Diceros bicornis minor: one gene and its partners. The protein of the gene in region 1 purifies or fractionates together with the protein of each later gene. This does not show direct contact. Links are inferred from orthologs where the notes say so. Each region holds a gene or a part of one and is shown in the gene's direction. Other genes may lie near its edges. The genes, in order: CHD4, TOP2A, CBX3 and SIRT6.

The links.
Region 2: the proteins of CHD4 (region 1) and TOP2A purify together in Homo sapiens (affinity purification with mass spectrometry; 3 studies listed by BioGRID and IntAct, with this or other methods). This does not show direct contact. The link is inferred for Diceros bicornis minor from reciprocal best matches to the Homo sapiens genes CHD4 and TOP2A.
Region 3: the proteins of CHD4 (region 1) and CBX3 purify together in Homo sapiens (affinity purification with mass spectrometry; 6 studies listed by BioGRID and IntAct, with this or other methods). This does not show direct contact. The link is inferred for Diceros bicornis minor from reciprocal best matches to the Homo sapiens genes CHD4 and CBX3.
Region 4: the proteins of CHD4 (region 1) and SIRT6 purify together in Homo sapiens (affinity purification with mass spectrometry; 3 studies listed by BioGRID, with this or other methods). This does not show direct contact. The link is inferred for Diceros bicornis minor from reciprocal best matches to the Homo sapiens genes CHD4 and SIRT6.

The regions. Positions count from the first base shown.
Region 1 is NC_080756.1:55,090,251-55,097,451, forward strand, and holds the start of CHD4 (chromodomain-helicase-DNA-binding protein 4), read left to right. Parts: upstream 1-4,190; 5' UTR 4,191-4,290; intron 4,291-5,135; 5' UTR 5,136-5,213; coding exon 5,214-5,313; intron 5,314-7,201. UniProt on the Homo sapiens protein: ATP-dependent chromatin-remodeling factor that binds and distorts nucleosomal DNA. Acts as a component of the histone deacetylase NuRD complex which participates in the remodeling of chromatin.
Region 2 is NC_080757.1:39,912,629-39,920,233, reverse strand, and holds the start of TOP2A (DNA topoisomerase 2-alpha), read left to right. Parts: upstream 1-4,599; 5' UTR 4,600-4,695; coding exon 4,696-4,716; intron 4,717-5,570; coding exon 5,571-5,726; intron 5,727-5,943; coding exon 5,944-6,034; intron 6,035-6,332; coding exon 6,333-6,396; intron 6,397-7,605. UniProt on the Homo sapiens protein: Key decatenating enzyme that alters DNA topology by binding to two double-stranded DNA molecules, generating a double-stranded break in one of the strands, passing the intact strand through the broken strand, and religating the broken strand.
Region 3 is NC_080742.1:51,188,052-51,195,572, forward strand, and holds the start of CBX3 (chromobox protein homolog 3), read left to right. Parts: upstream 1-4,520; 5' UTR 4,521-4,624; intron 4,625-4,807; exon of another isoform or gene 4,808-4,901; intron 4,902-6,045; 5' UTR 6,046-6,073; coding exon 6,074-6,097; intron 6,098-7,521. Other genes in the region: HNRNPA2B1 (heterogeneous nuclear ribonucleoproteins A2/B1), read right to left, coding at 115-261, 437-547, 645-680, 3,585-3,590.
Region 4 is NW_026691553.1:3,179,586-3,186,925, reverse strand, and holds the start of SIRT6 (NAD-dependent protein deacylase sirtuin-6), read left to right. Parts: upstream 1-4,332; 5' UTR 4,333-4,373; coding exon 4,374-4,439; intron 4,440-4,610; exon of another isoform or gene 4,611-4,955; intron 4,956-5,805; exon of another isoform or gene 5,806-5,876; intron 5,877-6,260; coding exon 6,261-6,388; intron 6,389-7,340. UniProt on the Homo sapiens protein: NAD-dependent protein deacetylase, deacylase and mono-ADP-ribosyltransferase that plays an essential role in DNA damage repair, telomere maintenance, metabolic homeostasis, inflammation, tumorigenesis and aging.

The DNA.
Region 1 (7,201 bases):
TTGGGCTGGCAGTGAGAACACCTGGGTTTTGGCTGTGTGCACACCAAAGGGAGCAGGGCTTCTGGGTGATCACAGCACCCAAATACTCTCTTCCCTCTTCACCTTCTTGGATTTGAGCCTTGGTACCATGGCTCTGGTGGCGGGCTTGGGCCTGGGGAGTTTTGCCACCTTATAGTCACACCGAAGGAACTGAGATTTGGTTGGCTCCTGAAGGACAAAGGCCTGTCTGGTCACTCCACAAGCCCTGTATGACCTGCATCCTGTTTAGCCATCAGAGTGCACTGTCACGGTGGCTTTTCTGCTCTAGGTTGTCTTCCCAAACCCCCTTTTCTGACAGAGCAAGAGAATGCTGGTCCTTAGACATCCTATGAGCAGAGTTTCTGGGGCTCACACAGACTGGAGATGGAGACAGAGGAACTATAGAGCACGTGCTGAAAACTCCCTGGACAAACCACTCTGAGTGTTATTCTAGGTTCTTCTGTACCATGGGATGGAAACAGAACTCTAAGGTAACTGGCTAGAGAGGTTGTCCCCCTGGGTGCATTAATCAGGAGATTATCCCACCCTTAGTCTCTGTGGACCAATCATGCTAGTGGTTTATTTATAATTGATCTGGGAGAGTAGTATGGGGCCAGGGTAGGGAGGGGGAGCCTAGAAGCATAAAGACCACAAAAGCAACACACAAACACACAGATGCTAGCCCTCTCTGGAACTCAAGAAGAGAGGAAAGGACTTTAACCTTCTCCCTGTGATGGTATCAGGGAGAGGAGGGGGATAAGAGGAGCAAGGGAGTGAGTGGGTAGAACTTGCAGGGATAGGGCAGAGGGCTGGGGTGGACAGAAGTTACCAGTGTTTGTAATCACAGGCAATAGGCTGTGACTACCCAGTTTTAAAACTCTCTTCCTGGTTTATATCATGAATCAGTGTAGTAATGTGGTGTATATATATGAGAAGAGAAGGCTATGGGGCAGATGGAGATATTATAGAAGGGAATATGAGGCCCAGAGGCAGGCTGGATCCCCTAAAGAAATGGGGAGAGAGAAGGGTGTAATAGGTATCTGGCAGCTCTATATACCAAAGAGAAGCTTCTTGAAATGAGATATACCCACATCGTGGTATCTTAAAAGAGCTGCCCCCTCTGCCCCAAGTGAGGAGCACAAAGTTCATTCTTAGTACTCAGAATAAGCATGGGGGAGGGTTTGCACAAGTGAATGGGGACCGATTTTATGTCAAGAGAATTTACTGGGGGAAGTGGCCTGCATGCCACAATGGATGTGGCAAAAGGGTGGTCTAGGGAATTAAGTCAGGTAGGAGCTGGTGGAAAGACTTATCAGCATCACTGGTGCTCTGCTTGGAAGCAAAGGGATGGTGATTTCCTGAAGCAAACTCTTGTCTTTCCTGAACTCATTTCTCCTTGCCAGTTCTCCAGTCCTTTGGTTCCCAGAGGAGGGGAGAATCATCTGGCCAGGCTCTTTCTCTAGGGAAGTGAGATTAGGAGGGCAATGTAGAGATGGTGTGAGGTTCGTCCTACTCACTTCTGGTCGGGAAGGGCCCCTCCTAGGAGGAAGTTCTGGTTTCTCCTCAACCTGTCCCAACGCCATAGGTCTTGGACTTGTGTGGAAAAGGCACATGAGAGCAGAGGAAGACATTATCTCTGGCTTGGGGGCTGTGTGTGGGGGAGGATGCAGAAAGGCGGCGGTGTTGGAACATTGGTTTTCACTCAGGTCCTGTTTCTTTGGGGGTCAGGAAGAGGGAAAAATGTCAGGCTTATGGACTCAGGTTCTCTGAGGGCCAAAAGGTTTGAAGATTGGGCTCTCTGACTTTCTGAGGCTGGGTCCCCAGGGCGGCTGCAGGGTAGGCGCAGTTAGGGAAGGGGATGGTATATGTTGAGAGGCTACCTTGTGGCATAATTGAATGAAGAAGACATCCTGGAATGTTGACTTGTACATGGGGAGGGGAAGATGGTGAACATTATACAATGAAGGGTTTTTTGGGCGTTGTAGAGTGGTGCCTCAGCAAGATGAGGATGGGGGCAGTTGGAATTATCATGAGACTTCAGGAATAACAAAGTGGGAGAAAAATATAGAACATTGAGGGTAAGCAGAATTTGGTGTTTAAGAATGAGGATAACAATTCTGGCATGTTGGTGAGTCTCAAGAAGGAAGCACATGATGATACTATAGGATTTAAGTATTAGAAACGCTGGATGAACATTGCTTTCCGATCAAAATCCCTTAGTATGTAGGGAACAGATAGGGGATTATCTTGACCATCCATCTATCTTGTAAATCCTTTTGGAATACCTTCCAGCCTCTGGAAGAACCACCAAGAACCTCTACTGGGATCTGATCTCTCCTGAGACCAGTTGGGATTTGTTTTATTCTCTATAACAGAAAATTGGGAAATAGCACTCAGTTATTCTTCCTTGACACCAGACATTCTATCTCATGGTTGGTTTGGTTGTTTATGCTTCTTGAAGGGAGGTACCTATGGTGCTTGCATTCCCTATGGTGCCCAGCTCTGTGCCTTGCTAGGTACTCTGTCAACATCTGTTGAATGACCATGAGTAGCAAAGAAGAGGGAGGGCAGGTCTTGGCTCTTAGTGTGTATATAGCAAGATCCTCAGTTCCTATCATGATGGGATGTCCATCCATGGGAGTGGCCTAGGGGTACTGATGAAAGGACCACCTGACCTGGGGAGGAGGGGGTGGGTGGAAAGAGGACTGCTGGAATGTTGAGAAATAGTCTTTAGATGGGAGTTTGTAATTATTATGGGATGTTCTGGGATGAAGTAAACTTGATGTAAGTGGCTCATCTGGCCAGCATGGTATTTGGTTGGTCTTACTTAAAATTTAAGAGCTGGAGGTAAGCATCTGGAGAATATCTGGACTTTGGCAGGATTGGGTGGGGCCCAAGGTTGACTCTCAGTTCCTAAGTCTCTGGAAATGATGGGATGAGGGAAGCAAGGGTCCATCCTAGACATCAAGAGGCTTTATGCCAAGATACTGCTTTGGCCCACTAAGGGATGAAGGTGTGTACAAGTTGGGGCAAGGACAGGGCAGTGTGGGTAGCCTGCTTCACACTGTCAGTTAGAATAGACTGACAGCATCTGGAGATGGGGGAGATATGAATATGAATATTATGGGATGCCTGGCTGGAAAGGTATAAGGGTGGTGGAGTGGAGATGAAGCATTATGGGATGTAACACTGGGTTGTGCTGAGAGTATTATGGTATGTCTGGTTGATCATGGGCTCCCTGCAATTATTATGGGATGTCAGGGTGTGGGTGGGGGAGTAAAATTACTGGATATCTTTCCAGCGTTAGAGGAAAGTTGATTAGATGTCCATCTAGGGTCACAGTAGGGCTGCCGATCATTATGGGATATCTCTTTGATAGGGGAGGAGTGGTTATCATGGGCTGTGGAGCTAGAATGAGTGTGTGAAGGCTGAGGGTGGTGGTGTGAGCATCTAGACCCTAGCCTGCAGGGGCTGAGGGCAGCTCCAGGGGGTTGGTTACTATGGGATGTCAGTATAGAAAGTGGGAGACTGATTATTACGGGATGTGTGTGGGAGGAGGCCGAAGTGTCCGTCGTTGTGTGTGTGTGTGTGGGGGGGTGAGTTTCTGACTATTATGGGATATCAAACTGGGGGTGGATGAAGAGTGGTTATTATGGGATGTCTATGGGGGATGGGGATGAGTATTATGGGATGTGAGGCCGAAGTGCTGGGAGGGGTGCTTATTATGGGATGGCCATGGGGAGGGAGAGGTGACGGATTATTATGGGATGTTAGCATTGGGGCCAAGAGTGAAGAAGTTGGCAAAGGATGGCTATTATGGGATGTCTGGGGGGGGAAGAGTTAGTTGCAAAAGGTCTGCAATATTATGAGATGTCAACAGCCTTGGCATACTTGTGTATGGAGTGTGTAGGGGGTGTCCGTGTGTATTATGGGATGGCCAGGAGGTGGGTGGTTGCCCGGGTGACGCGCGCGCGCGCGCTCGAAGGGGGCGTGGCCAATGGTTGCCTGAGCGACGAGGGGGCGGGGGTTGCCCGGGAGACCTAGGGAGGAGGGTGGCGGTAGTGGAGGGGGGGGTTGAAGTTGGTTGAGGTTATTATGGGCTGTCCGTGGGGGGGCGGGGCCTGTGCGGTGGGATTTCCCGGCCGGTGTTTCGGGCCCTTTAAGAAGCGACGCCGGAGCCGGAGCCATTTTCCCCCCTTCGGCCGCGGCGAGAAGGAGCCGGAGCGGGAGTGACACCGGGCCGGACCCAGCGCGACCTGCGGCGGCTCCGGGGTGAGGAGAGCGCGGGGTTCCCAAAGAGACGCCCCTCTCAGCCCGACCAGTCCCGAGGGTCATCCCTCCACCTACCCCTTCCTCAGGCGTCCCTCGACCCACGGACCGCCCCCTGCCCGCAGGAGCCGATCCTTCCCTTCCCTGCAGGGCGCCCCCTCCCCCCGCCCCCGCCCTAACCCGGAGTCTGGCTCCCCGCGACTCCCACCTCGGCTCGGGCTCCCACAGTGCCCGGCGCCCGCCCCCTCGCCCTTTGCTCACTTGCCCCCCGGGACACGTGGCCCGGCCCCCTGCCTGGTGGGAGCTCTCTCGCCCCCCGCGTCCCTGCCTCCAGCCCCCCGGAGCGCCCGAGCCTCCACGCCCCCTCGTCCCCGCGGCTTCTCAGGAGAACCTGAGTTGTCCCAGAGGACAGCCTTTGGAGAGCTGCGCTGTCTGGGGACTGGCCCCTCCCCAGGCGAACGGAGGCGCCCCCCCACCCCCAAGTGACCTTGTGTCCCCGAGCGCCTCGCCGCCTGCCGCCTCCCCCGGCTACCCCTGCGCTGCGGCCACTCGGACCCCCTCCCCCCGTCACACCCTGCTCAGTCCAGCCTGGCTTCTCTCCTGCCCCCTGCCTGCACCAGCCTGCCCTCGGGGGTGTCGCTCTTGCTCATCTGGGGGCTCCAGCTGGGGAGCCGGCTTCCGGGCTGCCCCCGAGGAGTGTGGAACTAAGTTCAGCCTGAGTGGCCCGGGTGCCCTACTCGGAGGGGGGGGGGCGGGGTGGTGGTGGGCGGAAAGAGCGGGGGGTATGGGGGAGGGGGACAGTGCGCGTCACTGACTGTTCTCTCTTTCTTCCCCCCTCCCCCGCGCAGTGACTCGGGCCAGTGTAGAGGGCCCCAGGCCGCAGGCAGGAGCAGCTGGGCCAATTCCCTGGCCGGGAGCGGAAGGGGATGGCGTCGGGCCTGGGCTCCCCGTCCCCCTGCTCGGCGGGCAGTGAGGAGGAGGATATGGATGCACTTTTGAACAACAGCCTGCCCCCACCCCACCCAGGTAACATCTTCCCCAGGGGCCCAGGACAGGAAGGAGGTATTTGGGCCCTCCCTAGTACTCTGGTGAGGTAGGGTTTCTCTCTCTCTGTGCATTCTAAGGTGGAGGGCATCCGAAGGGAGTGGTTGCCTTTGCGGAGCTCTTGAGGGGGTGGGGGGTGGAAGCCATGTGCCTCCTGAGCTCCGCAGATCGGGATGCAAGCTTGCTGCACTGTGTGTCTTAAGGAATCCTATGCAGTTCCCAGTTGAGGGAGCTCTCTGGGCTGGCACGCATTACCTTGTGTGGGTCCTTGGAGAAATGCAGGTATCTGGGACCCCTGGAGGCTGTGTGATGGTTGTTGGTGGTGGGGTTTGAGGAGGCCAGCCAGGCATCGGTGCTAGTAGCATCCTGTGGTTGCTGCTGTGGAAAGGAAAGAGGGAGTGCTGGTTACTCTCTATCTGATTATTTTTAGCTTCTGATCGGTTACTGGTTTTCTGTGCCTTTTCAACTGTGTGTAGTTTGAATTGCGCTCCTCAGCTGGCATCTAGAGCGCTTTTAGCCAGGCAGATTGCTGGAATGTTTTGAGTGGGAAAATGTTGGGGGCTAGGGGTAGGATGTAGTAGCCTGAAGGATAGACTAGGAGGGGCAAAGGCAGGCAGGTGACACCCTTGGCACCTCTCCTCCCCTAACAAGTGGATGTAATCCTGGCTTTCTTTCCTAGAGGCTTCTGCCTCTGTGCAGGTAGCCTGTGGTTTGGCCTGGTGGTGTGATGTGGTTGTGTAGGTGTGTTGGGGGTTTTGCTGTCTGTGTTTTGGGGTGGCTCCTTAGACTGGCCAAACCCAGATGGTTATAACACCCTGCCTGATAGGAATAGCCCTTGTCTGTTCTCAAATGATGATTGATGTCATGCTTCTAAGTGGATGTCTCGCTCTGGTCTGTCTGTCCTTCCTCAGAGCCCCTGGCTAAGTCACCTACTTGTTTTCTTGACACTTTTTCCTAGCTTCATTTTTTCTACATGCCATTTCTTCATCCTCTCTGCTTATATATTTTTTTTCATTCTGGAGCCTGCTGGTCCTGCTTTTGTTTCCCATCCAACATCTTTCACTTCTGGCTCCTCTCTCCTTAGCTCCAATGGCAAGTTGAGTTGATCTAGGAGAGATGTTTCCACATTTGGCGTTTTCTGAGTCAGAAGACTTTACTTCAATCTAAGGCTACTTAGGAAAGGGGTCAGTCTTGTTACTCAGTCTTCAACTCTTTCGATAAGAAATTTAGGCTTGATTCTCATCTTTTTGTGGGGCAAGGTGGCCAATTTCTGTGCTGTGGCCTGAGGTGGGGGTGGGGTGGTAGTGGTGGTGTGATCCTATCTTTTCTCTGGGGAGCATGAGAAGTAGTACTGCTGTCCAGGCAATGTTGGGTCCACATCTTGGCTTCCCATTGGCGCCTTGGTCTGGGGCTGCCCCTGTGTTGACTGGGAGCTGTGCAGGCTCCCAGGGTGAACTCTGCCCCAAGCTGTAGCGTGACCCAGTTTTTCCACCTGCCACACCCCATTCCTGTCCCTTTCCCAAATCTTTCTCTATACCTCAGTCAGTTTGCCACTTGCCAGGTGAGCACATTATCTGCCTGAAAAGTTTGGGGGTGTTATATGGATGGAAGGGTGTCCCCTTTGCCTCCATGTATTTGTCTTTGTCTCCACTTCCAGCTTTTATGGAGGTGATGAAGAGGAAGAACCAAGAGATGTAGCTGACTGGGGGGAGCGACATGGGGATTGCTGGGGAGAAGCCCTTAAGAAAATGATTCTTGCTGGTGAGATCCAGGCTGGTGTTCATTCCCAAGGGAATGGGAGGGGCTTTCTTGTGCCCTGCCTGATCCTAGGCTGAGTGGGGGGGAAGCTGACGGTGCTTTGTCAAGCCTC
Region 2 (7,605 bases), on another chromosome or scaffold:
CTGCCTAGACTTCAGTTTAGAGGTGAGGAAACCGAGACCCAGAGAGAGGAGGAGATTTATCTAAAGTCATGCAAATAGTGGCTACAGAGCTGGGCTAGGACTTCCCACCACAACACACTGTCCCTCAGTTTGGAGTTTTTCTAGAGTCCTCACCATTGGGTTCACTTAAACTGCCAGTTCCCCCATTTTATTGAAAATCTATCTCTAGCTACAAAACATAGTCTCACACAAACTTGTGCAGACAGGTATGCCTTGCCTTCAGTGAGGTGGGGAAAAGGGACACAGGTGAGAAGAGTATAGGGTATGGATGAAAACCGACACTTAGAAAGTCACATATTGGCAAAAGGTAGTGGACACAGAGAATTATCAAGACCCACAATTACTGAGAGAAATTTTTTAAATTTTGTATATTTAAGCTAACTTTTTACATTATAAAAATACTACATGTCTATAATGTTAAATTTTTCAAATAGAAGAGAAAATATGAAAAGTTTTCCTCCTCCTCCAACTATTTACAATTCCTTCCAGATGTTTTCACTGAATACATAAACATTTACTCTAATGCAATTATGCTCTACATTCTATTCTTCACCTCACTTTTTTTAAACTTAACAATATATCTTAGTGATATTTCCATATCAGTATATCTAGATCAACTTCATTCTCTTTAATAGCTGCATGTCTTTCCATTCCATTAGATTGCTGCCAGTTCTTTTCTAATAAAAAACAATATTGCAATAAATAACCTTGTGTGTGTGTATATATATATCTTTACACAATTGTGGGAGTGTATCAATATTCCTATAAGTTAAATTGCTGAGTCAAAAAGTGTGTACACTTTTAAAATTTTGATAGATACTGGACTGCCAGACTGCTGAGGGAAACACCTGATTGGACTTGTTGGGGACAAATCCCTGGTCCTGAGCTGATCCCTGCTAGAACTTCCCTTGCTCTCCTCCTAGCTCTGTCTGGTGGCCCTCAATGTCCCTTTACCTGGGGCCACTAGTGATCTGAGGAGCAGACCTGCAATGCCACTAGCAGAGAGAGGCTGAGCTCTATGGGACATTTTGGGTTTTCTTGGCCTCCTCCAACCAGAGGCTGGTATCCCTAGTAAAGAGGACTGATCAGACCCTGCCAGTCATTAACCTCAAGGTAAACAGGGCCTATTGGCAGAGCCCTAACCACCCCAGTACCCTGGCGCTGGCCCAGCCTCATTCAGGAATTTCCAGTGAGTTCCAGCCTAGCCAGCTCCATCCCCCAAATCCAGAGCCACACTTTCAGCCCAGCCGCCTTTGCTCAGTCAGCCCGCAGGAGGGAAGAAACACTGCCCTTTCAAAGGGAGCTCCCAGGTGGAAGATGGAGACACAATTCCTTCAGGACCCCCCTTCCCCTGACACAGAGTGGAGAGACAGGAAACACAACATTTATCAAAGGAACTCATCTGCGTATGCAAATATACTCCGAAGGACTTGAGGGGGCCTCAGTAAAAAAGATGGTCTGAGAAGACTCCCTGGACAGGGGAATTTTGAGTCGGTTTTGGAGGAAAGAACTTGGAGAATTGACAGGGGAGTGGGAGGAAGGTCTTGAAAAGTAGAGGTAATAACTGCTAACATGTTTTGAGCACTTACAACTCGCCAAGCAATGCACTAAGCACTTTACATGTGTTATCTCACCCTGTGTGGAGGTACTCATTATCCTCATTTTAGATGAAGAAATGAAGGCACGGAAAGACTCAGTGACTTGCCCAGGGTCATACATTTACCAAGTATTGTAGTCAAGAGTCTGACCCAAGTACTACTGAACTTGGCCCCTACGAGTGGGGGCAGGGATGGGGACAAGGTCCAGAGTAGCTAGTTTGGGCCCCTGCAGAGTTGGCGGAAAGTGGGAGGGGCCGGGGATAACGAGGATGATGGCTGCCCCTTCTCCCCACCACAGCCCCTGGAACTGACTCCCGACCCCTTCTTGCCTTCCAGCACTAGCAAATGGCAGTCACCTGGAATTCCCTCTTTGTAGACAATGCCTCCCAGGTCCGCCCATCCCAGACTTCCTTCAGTGGCCCCCTACAAGTCCTGCAGGACTCCCTGTGATAGGCTCTGGAAAGGAGGAGAGGCTGACAGAGAAATAGCTTGTGTTCCCCCACAAGAGAAGGGCCCTCCAATCATCCCACACACATACACACACCAAGGACATTCTGTGCTAGAGGTCTGGAAGATTGTTCTGGGTGCTTCCATATTTCATTTAGCCCTCTATACCTTTGATAAAGGCTAATGACATGGGGAAACTGAAGCTCAGGGAGATTTCTGACTTAGACATATGTGACTCAAAGTCCTTTTGACTCCACAGTTCTGCTTCTGGGTTTTTGGAACAGAGACCCACACAGTCAGGATCAGGCTAAACTGCAGGGGAGATTTCAAGCTGGGTCCCAGGAAATAGGGCTGGTGCTGCTTATTAAATTCCTGTTGCCTCATCCCCAGACAGATCTCGCAGGGTGCTGCAGGCTGGGATGAGCTATAGGGTGGGAAGCCAAGGGAGGCAGAGGCTGGACTGCCATCCTTGGGGAAGCAGGCCCACCCTCCCCTACCACCTGGGGCCTCTGTGTTCCAGGAGGTAGAAGGCAGCACAGCTGGTCTCTGACTATCAGGGTCATCCTCTGTCCTGGGAAAGCTGCAGAGAGTGACAGGCTGGCCCTGGAGCCCAGGGCCTGGTCAGCCTTCTGATGGGCAGACGCTACTGGATGGGCTTCCCTACAGCTGCTCTGAGACCCTGGTGGTCCTGTGCATTGAGACTGCCTTCCCCTATCAACACATGTGATGAGCAGAGTGGAGCTGAAGACACTCAGGAATTACTGGAGGCCAGGAGAACCAGAGGACAGGGACCAGAGCAATGCCAAAGCTCCATTCCTTTGGTTTTCCCAATTACCCTAGCCAGTGGGCTACTTCCATCCTTGACTACCTGTCACAACACACCACCTCTGCCCTGGCCCTCCCTGGGGCTCTGCCAGCAGAGTGGGCATTGAACATGCTGGAGTGATTCAGTAATTGGTTGACCTCTGATTTCTTTTATTTATTTATTTATTTATTGCTGAGGAAGATTTGCCCTGAGCTAACATCTGCTGCCAATCTTTCCCTTTTTTTTCCTTTTTTATGTGAGCTGCCGCCACAGCACGGCTTCTAACAGACAAGTGGTGTGTGTCCACGTCCAGGAACCAAACCTGGACCACAGAAGCGGAGGGTGCAGAACTTAACCACTAGGCCACCGGGGCCGGCCCTGATTTCTTTGAGAAGAAAAAAAAAGAATTAAGTCCACAAATTGTCACGGTAACCTAAGGAAAAATCCCTGCTTCCTGATTCTGATACTGTTAGCCCACTATTCTAAATGTCTTACATGTATCTTGTGTAATCCTCACGCAACTCTGAGGTGATACTGTTATTTTTATTTCCTTTTTTTAGCAGAAGAAAGGAAAGCACCAAGAAGCTGCCTCCGTCAAGATCACACGGCTGGCAAAATGCCAGGCCAGGATTAAAACTCACGGAATAGTGATTGGAAGGAGGTGGTTCAGATGGTCAAATTATGCGGTTATTTTTTCCAGCATCTTGTAAGAGCGTGTTTTTTTTTTGGGGGGGGGGTCATTTGAACACTGTGGATTGACGAGGACAGAATAACCCCCCTCGAAATTTACACGTCAGAGTAATAAAAAACTTCGGTCTTTGGCATTTCCTCGTCAAATCTCAACCGCTGTTCTGGACCGCAGAATTCAGGGACTTGAACACAGAGGAGAGCAAAAGTAACGCATGGTAGGGCATCCTATTGGCAGTCTGAGGGGAAAGTTCCAGTCCTAGAACGGCCGCTAAACCATCCTTAGCTCCTGAGGCGGTGACTATAAATTATTCCTTTTAATTGAGCAGTTGCAGCCCAACGCCCCTCTACTGGGGGACTTGAATGCTGCTCTCTATTTTGCGCGGCCTCTCTACACCCTTCTTTATACGAAAACTAAAAACCACAACTGTAGCACTTTTGTTTCTCTAAAAACACGCTAAATTCTTGGGGGGGAGGGGAGGTTGAGGAAAAGGTCAGATCCTGTTCGCTTAACCAAATCGCCAGGAAGCCGGCGCTCGGTTTCCTCAGGAAAATGGAGATAGCGCTCCCGTTCCTCTCACTAAAAACCTCAGGCCGGAGGACGGCGTTTAGATTTCAGGGATCTGAAACAAGTTAGCAGCTCCTGGGGAATAAACATCCGTCTCCTTCCTCTTTTCACCCCAGCCTGCACCTCAGAAAACCCCTTCCCGCTTCCACAGTTTGTCTCTTCAGAGTTTTCTGCTCTGAGAGAACAAACGAGCCCTCCTCATTGGCCAGATTCCCTGTCGGTCTCTCAGCAATTGACTCCGAGTGGTGTCTTTTGAAACCTCCTAGTCCCGCCTCCCCTGCCTAATTGGTTCATTCGACTGGGCCAACTCAGCCGTTCATTGGTAGATATAAAAGACTAGCTACGATTGGTTCTTCGGGACGGAACCGGTGAGACCGAGTCAGGGATTGGCTTATCTGGTTTGGGCGGGCAGGAGGATGGTTCAAATGGGACTGCAGGAGCTCGCCTAACCGACGCGCGTCTGTGGAGAAGCCGCTGGCTCCGGGGTCGTCTCGTGCGTCCCGCCGGTTTAGTCTCTTGCAGGGTTCTCGAGCCCCTTCCCGACCGTCACCATGGAGGTGTCACCACTGCAGGTACAGCTCGCGGAAGAGGCGGGTCGTGGAGCGGTATCTCTGGCTGCCGGTGAGGGGTGAGGCTCCTGGGCTGTGGCCAGGCCGCGGTGGGCTGGGAGCCGGTATTCCGTGTCGACCGTGGTCTCCCGGGCTCGGCGTGATCGTGAGGAAAGTGAAACCCCCTTATGGTGCTAATGTTGAAGCATTAGCGGCTAAACGGGCCCCTAGGGCGTTGTGTCTTGTGTTACTGTTTTTAAGGACAGGATTCACTTGGTCCTCTAGTAGATCTGAATTACAATGGACCGCGTGTGACTTGAAGCTGCGCATACCAATGCTTTCCTCTCCTACCCTCCGCTTGAATAGGGCGTTGAATGTCTCTGACCTTGGAGGGTGCAGAGCACGGCACAATATTCCCCTTAAGGAGCCGGCAGGCCCGAGTTGCTCAAAATATGTCCTTCCAGTGTTCAAAACGTTAACTTGGCCAGAGGATTGAATCGATAGCCTCCCAAACGGCTGCTGAACTGGAATCTGTTAGTGCCTGGGACGTGGGAGGCACTTAGTAAATATTTGTGGCACAGGTGAAAGAAGTGGGTGTATTTTATTGATAAATAAAAAGTTCCGAGGAAAATATTTCCATGTCAAATACACTTGGTGAGATCATATGTGTCTATTCAAACTGCCACCTGGGGACCTGGCTGCAGTTACCTTAAAAGGCCGTGTTTGCACAAAACAATGTAAACGTCGCCAATACCTACTGACAGATTGCAATTTGTTGTAGTGTGTGCAAGCATATCATTACGGTAGACGTTTCGTTTATAGTTTCTGATAAACCTATGATTAAAAATCTCTTTTCTTCAATTTTTTTTAATTGCTAGCCCGTAAATGAAAATATGCAAATCAACAAAACAAAGAAAAATGAAGATGCTAAGAAAAGACTGTCCGTTGAAAGAATCTATCAAAAGAAAACGCAGTTGGAACATATTTTGCTCCGCCCAGACACCTACATTGGCTCTGTGGAATTAGTGACCCAGGTAAAACCAAGCTAATGACATGCAGTTAGTAAGTAGTTAAAATGTATACTTTGCCAGGTTAATTTTCTACACTTCATGTACTTTGAGTGTCACTGGAACTGGCCTAAGCTATCATATATATATTGTAGTATTTACCCCAGAACACTTTATAGTAATCATGATGATAAAACAATAAACATAGGGTAAAAATGACTATATTTCTTTGCCTTATTTCTAGCAAATGTGGGTTTACGATGAAGATGTTGGCATTAACTATAGGGAAGTCACTTTTGTTCCTGGATTATACAAAATCTTTGATGAGATTCTAGGTGAGTAGATTCTTTCGTATAAAGATCTACCAGTCAAATCCTTCATAAAAAATATTCCTTACTGTAGCCAGACCTTCTGTTATTTCAAACAATAGTTGGCAAAGGTGAGACAGTCTACTGAAGTCTAGGAAGTTGAATTCTGTTCTAAGAACAGTACTCTGAATAAAAATTGCTGAATTAACACCTCATTAATGCTACTCCTGTGCTATTTGAGATTCTTCTTTCTATATCTTAGAGTTAAAGAATGTTTTTTTAAATACTTTAATTTCTTACAAATGTGTATTTTATTTTCTTTCAGTCAATGCTGCAGACAACAAACAAAGGGACCCAAAAATGTCTTGTATTAGAGTCACGATTGACCCGTAAGTCTCTTGGTCTTTTGTTTGTTATAGCTCATTGTTACTGTTAGTTGCATTTACTTGATTTTTAATGAGGTTGGCTTTTTTAATTTTATTTTTTATTTTATTTATTTATTTATTCCCCCCGCCCCCCAAAGCCCCAGTAGATAGTTGTATGTCATAGCTGCACATCCTTCCAGTTGCTGTATGTGGGACACGGCCTCAGCATGGCCGGAGAAGCGGTGCGTCAGTGCGCGCCCGGGATCTGAACCCAGGCCGCCAGCAGCGGAGCGCGCGCACTTAACCGCTAAGCCACGGGGCCGGCCCGAGGTTGGCTTTTTTTAAATGAAAGTTTGCAAAAGCACAGAAAGGCTAAATGCTAAAATGGACAATCTACGATACCTACCACCTAGTTTCAACAGTTATCAACACTCTGCTATATTTGCCCCATCTATATTTTTTCTGAAGCATTTAAAAATATATTACAGACATTATCCCACATCATCCCTAAATACTTCAGTAAGCATCTCCAATAATTGCTGTAAGTATTCTGGGGTCTAGATCTTTTTCTCCTGATGCTATTCAAATAGTAAACCAGCAGGTGGTGACAGAATAATTTGATCTAATGTTTCAGCTTATAAATATTGGGTGTCCTTTTGTGCGTGGTCAGCATCCTTGTTTCACCTTTTTATTGGCCTGATCAATTATAACATAAACTATACTTAAGGCTTTTTTTGGGAAATGTAGGTGTTAATGATGTACTTAAATGCTCTTAAGGACTCGATATCATTGTCTTAAAAAATAATGAGCTAGTTTTAGTCTTTTTTATAGATAATACTAAGTACTACTTAGAATAAGAACCATTTTATATATTATCTTCTGAAAATTAACTTAAAATAAGAGATGAATAAGTCCAAGTAAATGTTTAGCATTTTATTGGCAAGCAGGGAAGGTTACAGTTGATAATGTTTTTCCCTTTCATATTTGTTTTGCAATGTGCTTTGTAGGATGGAAAAGCTAGGGGAGCCAGGACAGTACAGATGATCCTCCTAAAAGCGGTATAATAATATTGTTTCCAAATTTTGTCCTTTTCTTTCCATTGGGCATAAATCATTTCCCTTTGTTTATCCCAACATTTTAAAACTTCATATTTTTTCAACATTATCAGTGTCTACCCAGATGTTGGAAAACGTTTAAGTTTTTCTCCTTTTGGCTCCTATTTCAGGAGTGGGA
Region 3 (7,521 bases), on another chromosome or scaffold:
ATTTTCAGCTAGATACACAGCATCTAGTTAGTTCTTCCAAAAACTACATTCTAATTTTCAGTGGGACAGAATTTTCTTCACATTTATTGCACAAAGAAATTATATTTTGCTCACCTCTCTTGCAACAGCACGTTTGGGCTCAACCACTCTCCCATCAATTGAATGAGGTCTTGCAGCCATGGCAGCATCAACCTCAGCCATAGATGAAAAAGTTACAAAACCAAATCCTCTTGATCTTTTGCTTGCAGGATCTCTCATTACCTATACGACCAAAGGGGAAACGTTAGCATTTGATCTCATTACTTGTGTTATGAACTAGCAGTACGAATTGATGGCTGATTTAAGTGATTTTTTCCACAACTCACTTAACATTTTAAAAACAGAAGCTCAACAGCTGAAGGACTACTATCTGTAGGCACTTTTACATTTAACGTACCACACAATCTGTAAGTTTTCCCCATTGCTCATAGTAGTTCCTCAAACTTTCTTCTGTGGTTTCAAAGCTCAAGCCACCAATAAAGAGTTTACGGAACTGTTCCTTTTCTCTCTGCAAAGGAAAACACCATTTCAATTTTTATTTACATTTTCTCTTTGTATGCAGGAAATTAAATTCTTAAATATGAGGTGACCTGCTGGCAGAGTACCTTTTTCCTCTCCAAAGGAACAGTTTCTAAAGTTTTCTGGGGGGGAAAAAAAAAACTTACATCAAATTTAAACCATATGTTAAACTGCATATTAGTTGTGTTACACCAAAAAAATTGCCTCAGCTGAACTACACAAGTTTCAAAGTCATTAATGCTTGATCTAAATTTACTTGACATTAAATTATTTCAAACAAATTTATTATCACTTATTTTTAAAAATACTTTCTGAAGAGAAAGAAGCAAATCTACTCCCTGGTCATTGAAGGGTTAAAGGATTCTCATCAAAATTAGCATTCAATCCTATATCCCACAGAGAAGTTAAAGTTAACTTTTAAAAGCTCAGTTGAAATCTTTTTTTTAAACATAAAAACTGTTGGTTCCTTACTTATAACTCATAGTTTACCATTTACTTCTGGATTCAGTATATCTGAAAAGTGACATTTTCCCCTCATTGCTCCCTCTGGTGGTGATTCTAATGCATCTCATCAAAAAAAAAAAAACCCCCTGGTAAAGATCATTCTTTCCCATACACCAACTCTCGATTAGGGAAAAAAATTCAAACCTTCAGTATATGCTCCAAAACATCCTTAAAATTTACCTCTCTTCTGACCAAGGCAGACTTTTTTAATGACCGTTGGTGTCTAAAGCTTCAAGTTTTAACATAACTGACTTTTTGTGGGCACCCCCATGTTTGGTTATTTAAATGACAGTACAGAAACAATCCGATTATTGGACCAATAACCATAAATACAATGAATGTAATCATTTTCTCCCAAAAACCACAAAAACGTTTAAATGACCACTGTGACTATTCAGTAGTTACATATTTAACTATCATTTACACTTCAATTCATTTACCAAAAAACCCGAAACCTCAAGTGTATTTAACTTAGTGGCCACCTGGCAAACTACACAAGTTACATCTAATTTCACAAATAAAAAAGAAAAAAGGCTAGGCTGAAATTTTTTAATCCCTATAAACCAGCAAGCAATTATGTTGCATTAATAGCCCTGTATTTGGGACTCTCAGTTAAAGAATGCATCATTATAATTTCCAGGTGACTAGGTTAAAAAATTAAAAATATTCAGAAACCCAATAAATCATAACGTCCAGGACAATCTGCTGTAAGTGTATAATACAAATTAAAATGTAAAATATAATTTTCAATACAACAGGCGATAACTTATTCCCAGCAAATAGCATTACAGCTCTCAACCCACAGTTCTATGGAGGTTTCTCCTTCAACGCATGATATTCTCCCAACAGCTCAAAAAATACAGCGATAAGAAACAATTTACAGATTTTCTTCCTACATAGTTAACTATTTTCAGGATTCTGAAAAATTTTAAAAGATTAACAAACTATTAAACTAGCTCCCGAGATGTTTACTTAAAACTACCAAAATGGTTAATTATACGGCATATTGATATTTGGATTCTTCACTTTACACCAAATACTGTCAGTAAACACGTCTTTTAAAACCCAAATTACGGAAATTTTAAAAAGCACATCTACAACAATTTTTACACATCACCAACAAAAGGCAAAAACTCATTACTTACCTCTGCTTTTTCCAAACTTACCCGATGTCCACTATCGATTACAAACAAAGTTATTTTTTAAGCGTGCTTAGGGTCAAAGAAAATACTCAGGTAGACCCCCTTCGCTTGAGACCTTATGCTTATCAATGTAATGATCAACCACGATTGCAAACATAAATGAGAAAAGTGACAAAGTTCAAATACAGAGCGGCCTAGCCTAACACAGTTCTGTATACAGCAATACACGCACTGAAGGACTGAGCCATGTTTTAACCGAAGTACCACTAAGAATAAACTCAATTTTTTTCTTCACTCTCCTCAAAATTTCTAACATCATTTACAAGGATCCGTAGTCTTATCCAGTAAAGATCACATTTCCCAGAAAAAATAGTATTTAAAAAAGGAATAAATTCTACCATTCTAAGGGAATCCTTCAGGAAAAAGTCCCCCCCACCTCCTTCCCCGCTGCCACCCACGCAGTCGGTAGTAATCTGACGGTTCCAAATTCTGACTTATTTCTCAAGTTTCCTGCGATTCAACTGTCTTTTTCATCACTGCAGGCCCAAACAAAACCGTTACTCAAAGAAACAGGACTGGAAAACAAAATGTCTTCTTTGTACGATGGCTCGCTTGAAACCGGCCCCCCACCCTCGCTCGCTTTACCTCCTCGGACGCCGCGCGCCCGGGCCCCGGAGGAACCCCCCCGCCCGCTGCTCGCTGCGGCTTCTGGACGCAATGGCGCCATTTCATCGAGGGGAAGGGAGGGAGCCTCTAACGAGGTGCGCAGGACTTTAAAGATCCAAGCTCACAAAACCCTCGGAATCCACCTCGAAACGGCATGAAAACAGCCCAAGAAGAAAGAAAATTAGTTAACCACTTCTCTTCTTCGGTAAAAGAATCAAACTAGCAGAATTCAGAGGTCGAAAAGAAAAATGCTGCGAGGAAGGAGAGAAATGAAAATGGCGGCCGCCAAATCCGGTTCCCGGGAGAGAGGGGGAGGGGAAGCTCCGCAGCCTCGCTCACGCGGACCCGAAACTCGCCGAAACGCTCAAACGGGGGCCGCCGGGGCCCCCCAATCGGCGTGCTTCACGAGGGGAGTAAGAATTGCCGCCTCGGCGCTCCGCTTTCACTACCGCGGGCCGCGTCCGCCATGTGGAAGTTCCCCATCCCCCACCCCCAGCAAAGGGAAATGGCGCCGGGAGGCTGAGGGTGGGGAAGGTGCTGTACAATCAGGCCTCCGCTAACAGCCCTCTTCGAAAATATCCTGCGACCAACCGCTTCTTAAGTGGCCCGATTTCACTGCCGCTCTCCGTCGGAGGCGGGGGGGCCGACTTCCACCGAGGCGCCAACGGCCTCGCCATGCCCTTTCCAATAACTCATTGATTTCAAACCCGTTACCTCCATCGCGGACTCAGTCGCTTCAGCCCGATTTCCCGCAGCCGAGCGAGATGAGAGAGATCTCCGCGGACGAACACGGACCGGACTCGTCCTGGCGCTGTAGTGAGAACTGCCGCTGCTCGAGAAACAACACCGCTAAGAGCACCTCCGCACAAGACCCGGCGTTGCTGCTACTGCCGCTAGAGCCGCTGCCGCCGCTTTTCTAGAACCTTCCCCCCGACTAACGCGTCTTCCCCTACGTCAGGCCGTTGCGTAAACGCCCTAACCGCCGCCAATGGCGGGAACGCTCTACCTCCTCCTTACGCCAAGTACGTACTCCTCCCCCCCTTGCGGCCAGCGGTGGTGCTTGACGTCACTTGCGTAAATGGGCTCAGTGAATTGCGGAAGGCGCGAGTCCTGCGTATTTCTCTCTCTCCGAATTGGGTCCAGCCCCCGCCTTAGCGCAGGGCAGGTAAGAAACGGTCGCGCAGTTTGAAATGAACGCTGCCGGGAGGAGCTTAATCCGCAGCTCTCAGGTCCAGCCCCCTCAGCCCAGGAGGTGGTCCCTGCAGCAACGCCGTTGATAATCCGCCCCCCCTCGCCCCCGTTCTCCCGCCTTAAAAATCTTTGTAGCCTCCCCCCTGCGTTTTCCCTCCCCCACCCCCTTCCCCTGCGCCGAGGACTGACTCGGCCCCTTCCGGAAACACCCGAAGCGACTGTAGTCAACAAATTACACTTCACCCTCCACCAACCTAACCCTGGCCGACGTCTTTGGGACTGACCCCTCGGGTTCAGAAAAGGTCTTTGCAGAGGGTGGTCCGAAAGGGGCACTCTTTCTCAGTGTCCGATTCCCCCCACCCAAATTTATCTTCATCCTCTCACCCCCAACGTTTGGAGGCACGCACCCCCAGGGGCGAGGAAGTGGGCGGAGTCCGGTTTTGGCGCCAGCGGCTGCTGCTGCGAAGCAAAAACGCCTCCGCCGAGAGGACTCTGGACAGCGTCCTCGCCCCTCCTTCCCTCTTCCTCCCCTCCGGGGACCACCAGGCGCCACGCCGCGAACGGTAAGTGCCGCTGTCGCCACCGCTCTCCCCCCCGCCCCCTGGGCCCGGGCTCCCGGCGGGCGCGGCGCCGCGCGGCCCCTCCCCCCCGCCGGGCGCGCGCCCCCTGCCCCGCCCCTGGCGGCCGCCCGGCGTGGGCGGTGCCACCCTCCCCCCCCCCCGGCGGCCGCCCCGCGCGCTGCTCCCCAGCCCCCTCCCCCTCGGATGTGGCTGGAGCTGGAGGCGCGCAGGGCCGGAGACGCTGCAGACCCGGGACGCGGAGCAGCTCGGAGGCGGTGAAGTCGGTGTCTTTCTTTCTCTCTAGTTCTCACTCGGTGGTGGCGCTTAACATACCACATGCGCCCCAGCTCCCCACCCCCTGGCCCCTGCTTCCCGTCCGACCCCGAGTCGGGAGCTGGTGGGAAGGAGCGGAGAGGCGAGCGGAGACCCCGCGGCGGGCCTGGCGCTGCGCCGACGCCTGTAGTTAAGTGGGGGACGAGACTGTCCCCGAGAAGGTGGAGAGTCGTGGCGACAGTCGCCTTATTTCTAGACAAAGCGCATTTTCCTCTCCCCTCCCCCATCCCGGATCACGATGAGGGGCCCTCCTCCCCCTCCCGGGCTTGGCCGGCGACTGGGGCCTCCAGGGAGGGCGGTGCATTCTCCCGCATCCGCGCGGCCAGCTTCCTGGAGGCTGCGGCGGGCGCTCCGTTATGTGGCCGCCGCCGGGGGCGAGGCGCGAGCCTCGTGGCGCAGTGCCCTTGAGCCCCCGCGCGCGGCCTTTGTTTCTCCCCGCGGATGCGCTGACCACGAGGCCCGCGCTCCCGGGTGGGGGGCGGGCGCCCGGCGTTTAGGCCGCATTCAGCAGGGTGGGGCCTGGGGCTTGGGAGCATATGGACGTACCGAAGAGGTGACTTGTTTTCAAAAGTGGCACGAAATGGGCCTGAAGCATCTCAGTGTGTTTTTCTTTTAGTGTTTTAACTAGTGATTGGGAAGAGGGAGGGTTTCTAAGAAGAAACCAAGTTGGGATTACATAGGCGACTCTTTGGACTGTTAAGAGGTCTCGACGAAAAATTCACGGTAGTTTAGGAAATTGTCCGATTTTGAACCAAAATATTTGGCCATTTTGTAAAGAATACTGAATATGTATAAATGGCATTTGAATTGAAAAAACATATTTGTCTACTGTTTTTCGGCCAGCGAAGCTGTTTCAAGTCCCAATGACCTCAGTAAGGTTTTCTAGACTCGCTGTTAGAACACTGATATATTCTCAGGCATATTCTCTCTAATAATTTACGCAGGAGCTTAAATCTGCTTTTGTATGGATTTGTATACATGTTTGATAATATGGGCTACATAGGTGGGGGTTGGAATCCAAACAAAACTTGTATTTAGCTACCTTTTTTGTGTCGTGCAAACTTCCTTTTAACTGTCATGCGTTTTTCTAGTAATAGCTCTTCAAGTCTGCAATAAAAAATGGCCTCCAATAAAACTACATTGGTAAGTTAATGAAAACCTGAAATATGTAAGGATCTAACTCAAAATTTTTTCCCCAAAAATTATAACTTTGCGTCTCTGTGGTTCAGAAATTTACATCTATATGTATTCCCCAGTCCCTTCTCTCCCCAGTGTTGTTATGGGGAGAATTAGGGGCCAAAACGAAGTCGTTACATTGAGATATTTACTGACTTGCCTGGATAGTGTTTTAATTCATTGAAAGAAACCTAATCTTGGGAGGATAGCGCAATGTGAATTTTAATGAGTATTTTTATCTTGAAATACAAATGCACAAATTTATGTAACATGAAAGAATATGTTACAAGCATAGAGAAAGCAGTAAAGTCTTGTTGATTGGCATAATATTTTCTAAATCACTGTACTGAATTCTAGAGAAAGCAAGTATTTTCAGTATTGCCCAGTGTCAAAAACAGGCACCTTGTACACTTAGATTGGGGCAGAAAGTGAATCTTCCAAATTACTTTCATCACGTTGTCATATTTCAGACTTGCTTATTCTAAAGTCAGACGGGCCTTAAAATTAAATAATTGCAGTGTTCTGGTAATACACAAAATGAACACAATCATGTATGTCCAGGAAGGAGAAAAGACTCGATCTTTCAAGCAATTTTTGGTCTCTAGCAGTTTCTTAAATCCAAAGTTTGCATTCTCAGGCTTCATTACAAGTTCTGCAAATGTGTAAAAGCCATGTCAAGTTAGAAGTTTAAAAAAAACACGAAATTCAGTTACGGTTCCCACAGTATTTAATTCTAACACTGCGTTAATAATAATCGAAAGCATATAAAGGTGAGTGTTAATATCTAAATAAAGCAAAACATTTGGTTTTAGTTTGTATTGTCTGTTGGGTTTCACAATTAAAAGGGCAAGTTGGTGATTTTAATTTGTGCCATCATAGGTTTGCCCATTTAAGTCAAATTTCCTGGGAAACAAAAACAACTATAAAGCCTATGTGGTGAGTCTCTGTGGCACAAATGGTTCCATCAAAGCCATCAGTGGGAAAAGCTCTTAGCATGTTCTGTGCCCCCTCAGGATGGAAGTGTCCTTCAAATTCCATAATCAGTAAAGGAAAGTAGAGATAATAAATTGATTTTATGAACACCTGTGTTCAAGTATTGGTGGGGAAGGGAACTAGCTGTTCATGAGGCTTTGAGGATGAGTATAGATACAGAAAGCAAGCAAATAGATGATTCCATTAAAATTAAGTTGCTTTTGCATATAATTTGATAGTTTTCAATGTCTGTAACTTACTGGTATTTAAATATTCTTTTGTAGGGGATCACATATTGACAACTTTAAAAGTTTTTATTTGACTTTTCATTTTAAAATAGTGTTGTGAGATGTGTGCTATAATTTAAATGGTAAAGTGAATGAATTTTCTTTTGAAAAGAAACAAATGAGCCCTTGAAA
Region 4 (7,340 bases), on another chromosome or scaffold:
AGACAATCCCATTCCCTCTCCTCGCTTTTTTGGTCTCCACGGCACAAAATATGCCTTTTCACTTATTTATCTTGCCCATCTCTCCCACTCGCTATCAGCTCCACAAGGGCAGAGGTTTGTCTGCCCTACTCACTGCTCATTCCTCTGTGCCCAGAACAGCGCCTGATACAAATATTTGCTAACTCGAAAGCAAGAGATCCGGGTCCTGGAGAAAGTGGGCCCTTAGAAAAGCAAGCGGTCACTGTAGCTGGGGAGAGCAGAGATCTTCCGGAAGAAGTGTTGTTGGAGCTGAATTGGGAGGAAGACGGGGGCGGGGGGTGGTTTGAGGGGCAGCAAAGCGGGGAGAGGGCGTTCCAGGTGGAGGAAACAGCCTGGGCAAAGCTTTGGTGGTGCGAGAGCTTGAAGAGGAAGCAGTGGGAAGACCAGGGCAGCAGGGGGCGGTAGAGACGAAAGGATGAGGATGTGGCCAGAGGCTAAAGGCTTCAACTTGAACCTGTGGGTGGCGAGGAACCGTCGAAGGGACAACGGCTCGAAGGCCCCAGTGGATCTTCAGCCAGGCCCTGGGAGATGGGAGCCTGAAGTTAGGGGACACTGGGCATCTCGGTGGCCTCAGACTCACCTCTGTCTTCTTAAATCGTGCCCGGAGAGTCTTCATGGCCAGCGTCCGGCGTTTCTCCTCTCCCCAGGCCACCTGGGGAAGGGCAGGGGGTGAGGGGTATCAGTCCTGGTGGGCAGGAGGGTTGGCTGCCTCCCCCTCCTCAGAAGGATCGCTGCTTCTTCCCTGGGTCATTCCAGCCGCTAGAGCAGGACACAGACCTGCCCCCATCTCCTAACTGCTGTGTGTCCTTCGGCAGGTCACTTGCCCTCTCTGAGCTTCACTTCCCTCATCCTTAAAATGAGGGAGATAACCCCCTCTTGACCAACTCATGATCAGTTTTCAGTGAAGTCCCTAGCATAGAGCCTGACAAACAGTACGTGCTCAATAAGTGCACCTCACTAGTATTCCTTGGTGCCCAAGCAGATCAAGGTTTTTCTGGTCTCCGAGCTTTTATCTGTGCAGTTATTTCTGCTTTTTTTTTTTTGTCTTCTTCTTCTCTGGTGAACTCCTATTTATCCTTCACAGCCCGGTTCCAAAATCCCATTTTCTGATCAGCTTTGCCTGTCATGCACAGGCTGAGCTCTAACTCCGCAAATTGGGTTCCCCCAGCCCCGGATGGGTCCCTTCTTCTGCCCCAGCCCCAGCTTCATAGGCTGGAAGCGTCTGGGCTGGTTCTGTCTTCCAGAACAGTGAGGGGCTCCTGGGGGGCCAGGCCCAGAGCTGAGGCCTCTTAGCACAAAGGCATGTTTCTTGGGGAATTGGAGAACAACATCCTCGCAGCTGAGTCCCCTTACATGAGGCTGGCGTCTGCATGAGTGAGAGCATGGAGGCAAGGCACCCAAGGGGGGTGGAGGTCTGGGGTGATGGCTGTGTGCATGTATGCACACATGCCAGCATGAGGGGTGTGTGTGCACCCACATCTGTCCACCTTGGCCTGTTACATGTTCCGTGCATGTGCGGGTATGGAGATCAGGCAGGGATATCTCAAGGGGATGTTTTGCTAGGTGTGTGGCTAGAGAGTCTTTCCTGTTCTGAGCGGGATTTCTGTGAAGGTGTGTCCATCATCTGTCCATCTGCACATGAATTCCCCAAGCCATCCTTCCACCTGTCTACCCACGCATCCACTCATCTGTGCATCCATCCTCCTGTACAAGCACTTGCACATCCCCGCTGGCCACCACCCACCAGCTCACCCACTCAACTCAGCTTCTCATGGCTCTTCATGCACCTTCAACCATGCTTCATCCACCATCTACCCACCATCCACCCTCTACCCACCCATCCATCCAATATCCACCCACCATCCACTCACCATCCACCCACCCATCCACCCACCCAATATCCACCCACCATCCACTCACCATCCACCCACTCACCCATCCACCCAATACCCACCCACCACCCACTCACCATCCACCCCCCATCCATCCATCCACCCAATATCCACCCACCATCCACCCACCCATCCATCCACCCAATATCCACCCACCATCCACTCACCATCCACCCCCCATCCATCCATCCAACATCCACCCACCATCCACCCTCTACCCATCCATCCATCCACCCAACATCCACCCACCATCCACCCTCCATCCATCCACCCAATATCCACCCACCATCCACCCTCTACCCATCCATCCATCCACCCAACATCCACCCACCATCCATCCAATATCCACCCACCATCCACCCTCTACCCATCCATCCATCCATCCAGTATCCACCCACCACCCACTCACCATCCACCCTCCATCCATCCATCCAATATCCACCCACCATCCACTCACCATCCACCCCCATCCATCCACCCAATATCCACCCACCATCCACCCAATATCCACCCACCATCCACTCACCATCTACCCCCCATCCATCCACCCAATATCCACTCACCATCCACTCACCATCCACACACCCATCCATCCATCCAGTATCCACCCACCCATCCACCTGCCCATCTATCCATCCATCCAATATCCACCCACCTACTCACCCATGCATCCTTCATCCGCTACCCACAGACCCATCTACTTACCATCCACCCACCCATTCATCCACCCGCCCTCTCATCACCCATCCACTCTTGCGTCTCCCTACCCATCCATCGACTGCCCATCCATTCATTCACCCCTCCACCAAAGTACCCATTCACTCACCACCCACCCCATCTTTTTTCTTTACCCCTGTTTAAAAGACTCAATCACACCCAGAGCAGTGTGTAATAAGACACCCAAGAGAGGAGTCCACAGGTTGCCTGGGCAAAAGGGAATCCACGGGCTTGAGGGAAGGGAGGATGCCCTCATCTGGGGGGCTGCTTCCTGGAAGAGATGATGATCTACAAGCAGGGCCTGACAGCCAGGCAGGATATTTCACGGCAGCAGCAGGAAAAGAGGCTATGTCCCCTAGACAGGGCCAAGGCCGGGAAGCGGGAGGCGCGTGCATGAACCAGTGTGTGTGCGCTCGCGCGAACCCAGGTGCCTGGGTGACTCCTCAGCGTGTCTGGGACACACACGGCCTCTCCTTTCTCCCACACACCAAGGCTCAGGGGCGAGGAGCCCGAGGCCCTAAGGGGAGCCTCCAGCCCAGGCCTCCCTCACCTCCCTCCTCGCCTACCTCCTGCAGCTCCAGTGACTCCGGCACCAGGCCACCGTGCCACTGCCAGCTCTGGTTACTCGCTCCCAGCTGGGCTACCGGCTCACATCAGCAGCTCGGAGCGCTCAGCTCTGACACCCGATCGGCTCTGAGAGGGCGGCCGCCCCAGGGGACCAGGGATGAGCTGAGGGAGGAGACAGGCTGGCAGCGGAGCTGCCTGTGCCAACGGGCTCTGGCGGGAAGACACCAACCTTCTTCCCTAACATCGCTGGACCGATTTCAGTTTCTGGAATGAGCCACGCTCTTCCTCCCCTCCCAGCCTTTGCACCTGCTGTTCCCTCCACCAGGAGCACTCTTTCTGTACCCCGGTTCACCCCCAACCGGCTCTTTCTCCTCATTTCACTCCTACTCACTCTTCAGATCTTTGCTGCAACGTCCCCTCCTCCAGGAAGCCTTCCCGGATGTCCCCAGGCTGGGTCAAGTGCCCCCTCTGAGCTCCCTCATTGCCCGGTGCCCTCTGTGTCCCTCATTGCAGCCCGATCACACTAAGTCACCATTGCGCGGTCACCTGTTCATGTCCACCCTCTAGCCACAAAGCGACACCTTTGTTCTCCGGTGTCTCCCCAGCACACAGTAGGTGTTCAGTACGTGTTTCTTAAATGAGTCAAGTGGAGATGACCATCCGTCTGGATAATATGAGGTCCCAAATTCCTGCCCGCTCCCCACCCCGGCGCAGATACCCTGCATTTGTAACTTTATAAACTTCTGAAATGTGCAGCGGAAAGAACTTTGGACCGGAAGCACGAGTCCTGGGTCCCTTCTCCCTGGCTCTGTCCTCAAGAAGAGGCAGGAGGGGGGCATCAGTTTACCCATTTGTAAAACAAGGGATCGGGGGCACCGATTGCCGTGCCCCTCATCTTAGAGGTGATCAGAGAACTCCCACTTGGGCGGCCGCCCCAGTTTCCCGCCTTCTGCAAGCGCAGATAAGGAGGCAAGCTTCTTTTGCCAGCAGTTAAGATGGCGCCTGCGGCGTCATCGCGACGCGCATGCGCCCTGAAGGGAGAGGCCGGGCACGTAGGACGGGGATGCGGCTCCCCCTCTCTCCTCCCCGTCCCGCCCCGTTTCCGGCGGAAGCGGCCTCAACAAGGGAAACTTTATTGTTCCCGTTGGGGCGGCAAGGATGTCGGTGAATTACGCGGCGGGGCTGTCGCCTTACGCGGACAAGGGCAAGTGCGGCCTTCCCGAGGTGAGCGCGGCGGGGGGTCCGGAAGGCCGCCCCCAGGGCCGCGGGCTGGGCGGGGCCGGGCGGCAGCGGGGCATTGTGGGAATATCAGGAGGCACTGAGGCTAGACCATGGGAGGGACTTCCCAGTGAGGAGGGGGCGGGAAGTGACGCCCCCTGCGCGCCCGGGGCCGCGGACACGCCCAGCTCCGGGTGGGCCGGGCTGGGACAGAGGGAAAGACCCGCGTCGGGGAAGTCCTGAAGTTCTGATGGGGGAGCAGGGGACGTAGGTGCGGGCGGAAGGCACTGCAGAGGGCAGAGGCAGGGAGGTGGGAATAAACACATTTTGGAGAAAAGATTACACCAGAGAGGTTTCCAGAGCCAGGCCAGGACGGGCCTCAAATGCCAGGCTGGGGAGATGACCCTGTCCCGAGGGTGATGGGGAAGGGTTTTGAGCTGGGGAGGGACCTGGAGGATGTAAGTCAGAAAGACCCCTCCAGCCACTCCCAGAGGAAGTCCCTTCCATACACTGAGACCTCGGGTGAGTCACTTCCCCTTCTGTAAACTGGGGGGAAGATGCCCCCGTCCCATAAAGGCTGGTCCGTTCATTCCCAGTCAGACATTGAATGAGCTCTCAGACAGTGCGAATCCCTCCTGAAGCCCCACTCTTCTCTCCTGCCGCTTATTCACTTTATTCCACAAACATTTATTGAGCACCGACTGTGCACCGTGCAGTGTCTAGGCCCTGGGGCCACAGCAGGGAACAAGACAGACAGAAACCTCTCATTCTAGCAGGGACACCCACAAGGAACAAGGAAATATCGGAAGTCAGAGGGTGGGAAGTGCTAGGGAGTGAAGCTGGGAGTGAGGAGGAGAGGGCTTGCTGCATGGAAACCAGGTGGTCTGGGAGGCATCGTGGAGTTGACTTTTATTTTCCCAATTTTTTTTATTGTGGTAAAATACACATAACGTGAAATTTACCATCTTCACCATTTTTAAGTGTCCATTTCAGTGGCATGAAGCACATTCACATGGTTGTACAACCATCCCCCCCGTCCGTCTCCAGAACCTTCCGTCTTCCCACACTTAAACTCTGTCCCATGAAACACTGACTCCCCTCCCCTCCCCCAGCCCCTGGCCCCACCATCCACTTTCTGTCTCTGTGGCTGTGACTCCTCTAGGGGCCTCCTGTGAGGGGATCACACAGTGTCTGTCCTTCTGTGTCTGGCTCATGTCACTGAGTGTCATGTCCTCAGGGTCCACCCATGTTGTAGCAGGTGTCAGAACCTCCTTCCTTTTCAAGGCTGAGTGATATTCCAGTGTGTGGATGGCTTCCATTGTGTTTATCCATTCATCTGTCGATGGACACTTAGTTTGCTTCCACGTTTTAGCTATTGTGAATAATGCTGCTATGAACATGGCTGTGCAAATGAGATGACTTTTGAGCCAAGACCTAAAGAAGGTGAGGGAGGGAGTCTAGTGGGTATCTGAGGGGAAAGAGGGTTCTGGGCAGAGGGAACAGCCCATGCAAAGGCCCTGGGGCAGGACCATGCCTGGCGTGTTGGAGGAACAGTGAGGAGGCCCGTGTGGCTGGAGCAGAGGGAGAGAGGAGGGGGGAGGATAGGTCGTGCAGGGCCTGGGGGGCCACAGGGAGGACGTGGGCTTCTGCCTCGAGGGAGGTGGGAGCCCTGGAGGGCTGTGGGCAGAGGAGGGACACATGTCAAGCTGCCTTTTCGGATGCATTCTCCTCCCCCTGGGCAAGGCAGGGGCAGCTCGGTCTGTGGCAAGGGGTCCTGCCACCATGGAACACGTTTGGACCCCTCCCTTCTGCTCTCCCCGACGGCAGATCTTCGACCCCCCTGAGGAGCTGGAGCGGAAGGTGTGGGAGCTGGCGAAGCTGGTCTGGCAGTCCTCCAATGTGGTGTTCCACACGGGCGCGGGCATCAGCACCGCCTCTGGCATCCCTGACTTCAGGTCTGTGGGCATGGAGGGGAAGTCGAGGCAGGGCCCGCTGCACAGCCAAGGGCTCCCCTGTGAGCTACAGATCCCTGGGCATTGGAACCCACCCTGCTGCCTCCCCCTGTCTGAGTCCTGAGTGAGCCCCCTGGCAAGTTGGGGATGGGAAAGACCCCTCTCTTTCAGACATGTCCCTTTAAGTCACACCCAACATTCCATGCACACCCATTGGCTGGAACTTGGTCACCTGACCATACCTAGCTGCAAGGGATGCTGGGAAATGTAGTCTTTCTTCTAGGCTCGCTGTGCATGGGTAAATATTGAGGGTTTATGACCCTCGAAGATGGGGAAAATCGACATCAGGGACAATGAGCTCCACACTCACTTGCAAATATTTTTCTGTCAGACCTGGGGTCTGGCAAGTGGCTTAACTGTCTGGACCTCAGTTTCCTCACCTGTAAATGAGGACGTGAGACTAGGTAATGTCTAAACCCCACTCTGCTTCAGCAGCCTGTGTCAGATAAGGGTCTTGTTGCTGCAAAGCAGGGGTCTCAAACTGCCGGCCCCTGCGCGGCCCCTGTAGGGGCTGAGTTTGCAACCCTGTCTCATAATGCAGGCCTATTGCATTTGTACTCTCTTCCAAGGCCCCTCAGGCCCCCGGCCCAGACCATCGCAGCAGGAGAGCAGATTCCTCGTTCGTGGAGGAATGTTAGAATTCTAAGGTGTGAATCTCACCCCCCTCTCCCATAACCCGCCACGGCTCCCCATTGCCACATAGGAGAGCTCCAAGCAGCTCGGGCTGGCAATGGAAGCCTTAAGTGACCCAGCCCTGGATTTCCCCAAACTTGCATTTCCCCAAACTCACAGGCTGTCGCCCGCCCCCCAGGCCTCTGCTCACCCCTTGTGTCTGAACTGCCCCGCTCCTCCCTCGAACAATTCAAGAGACAGCTCGGCCTCCTCCAGGAAGCCG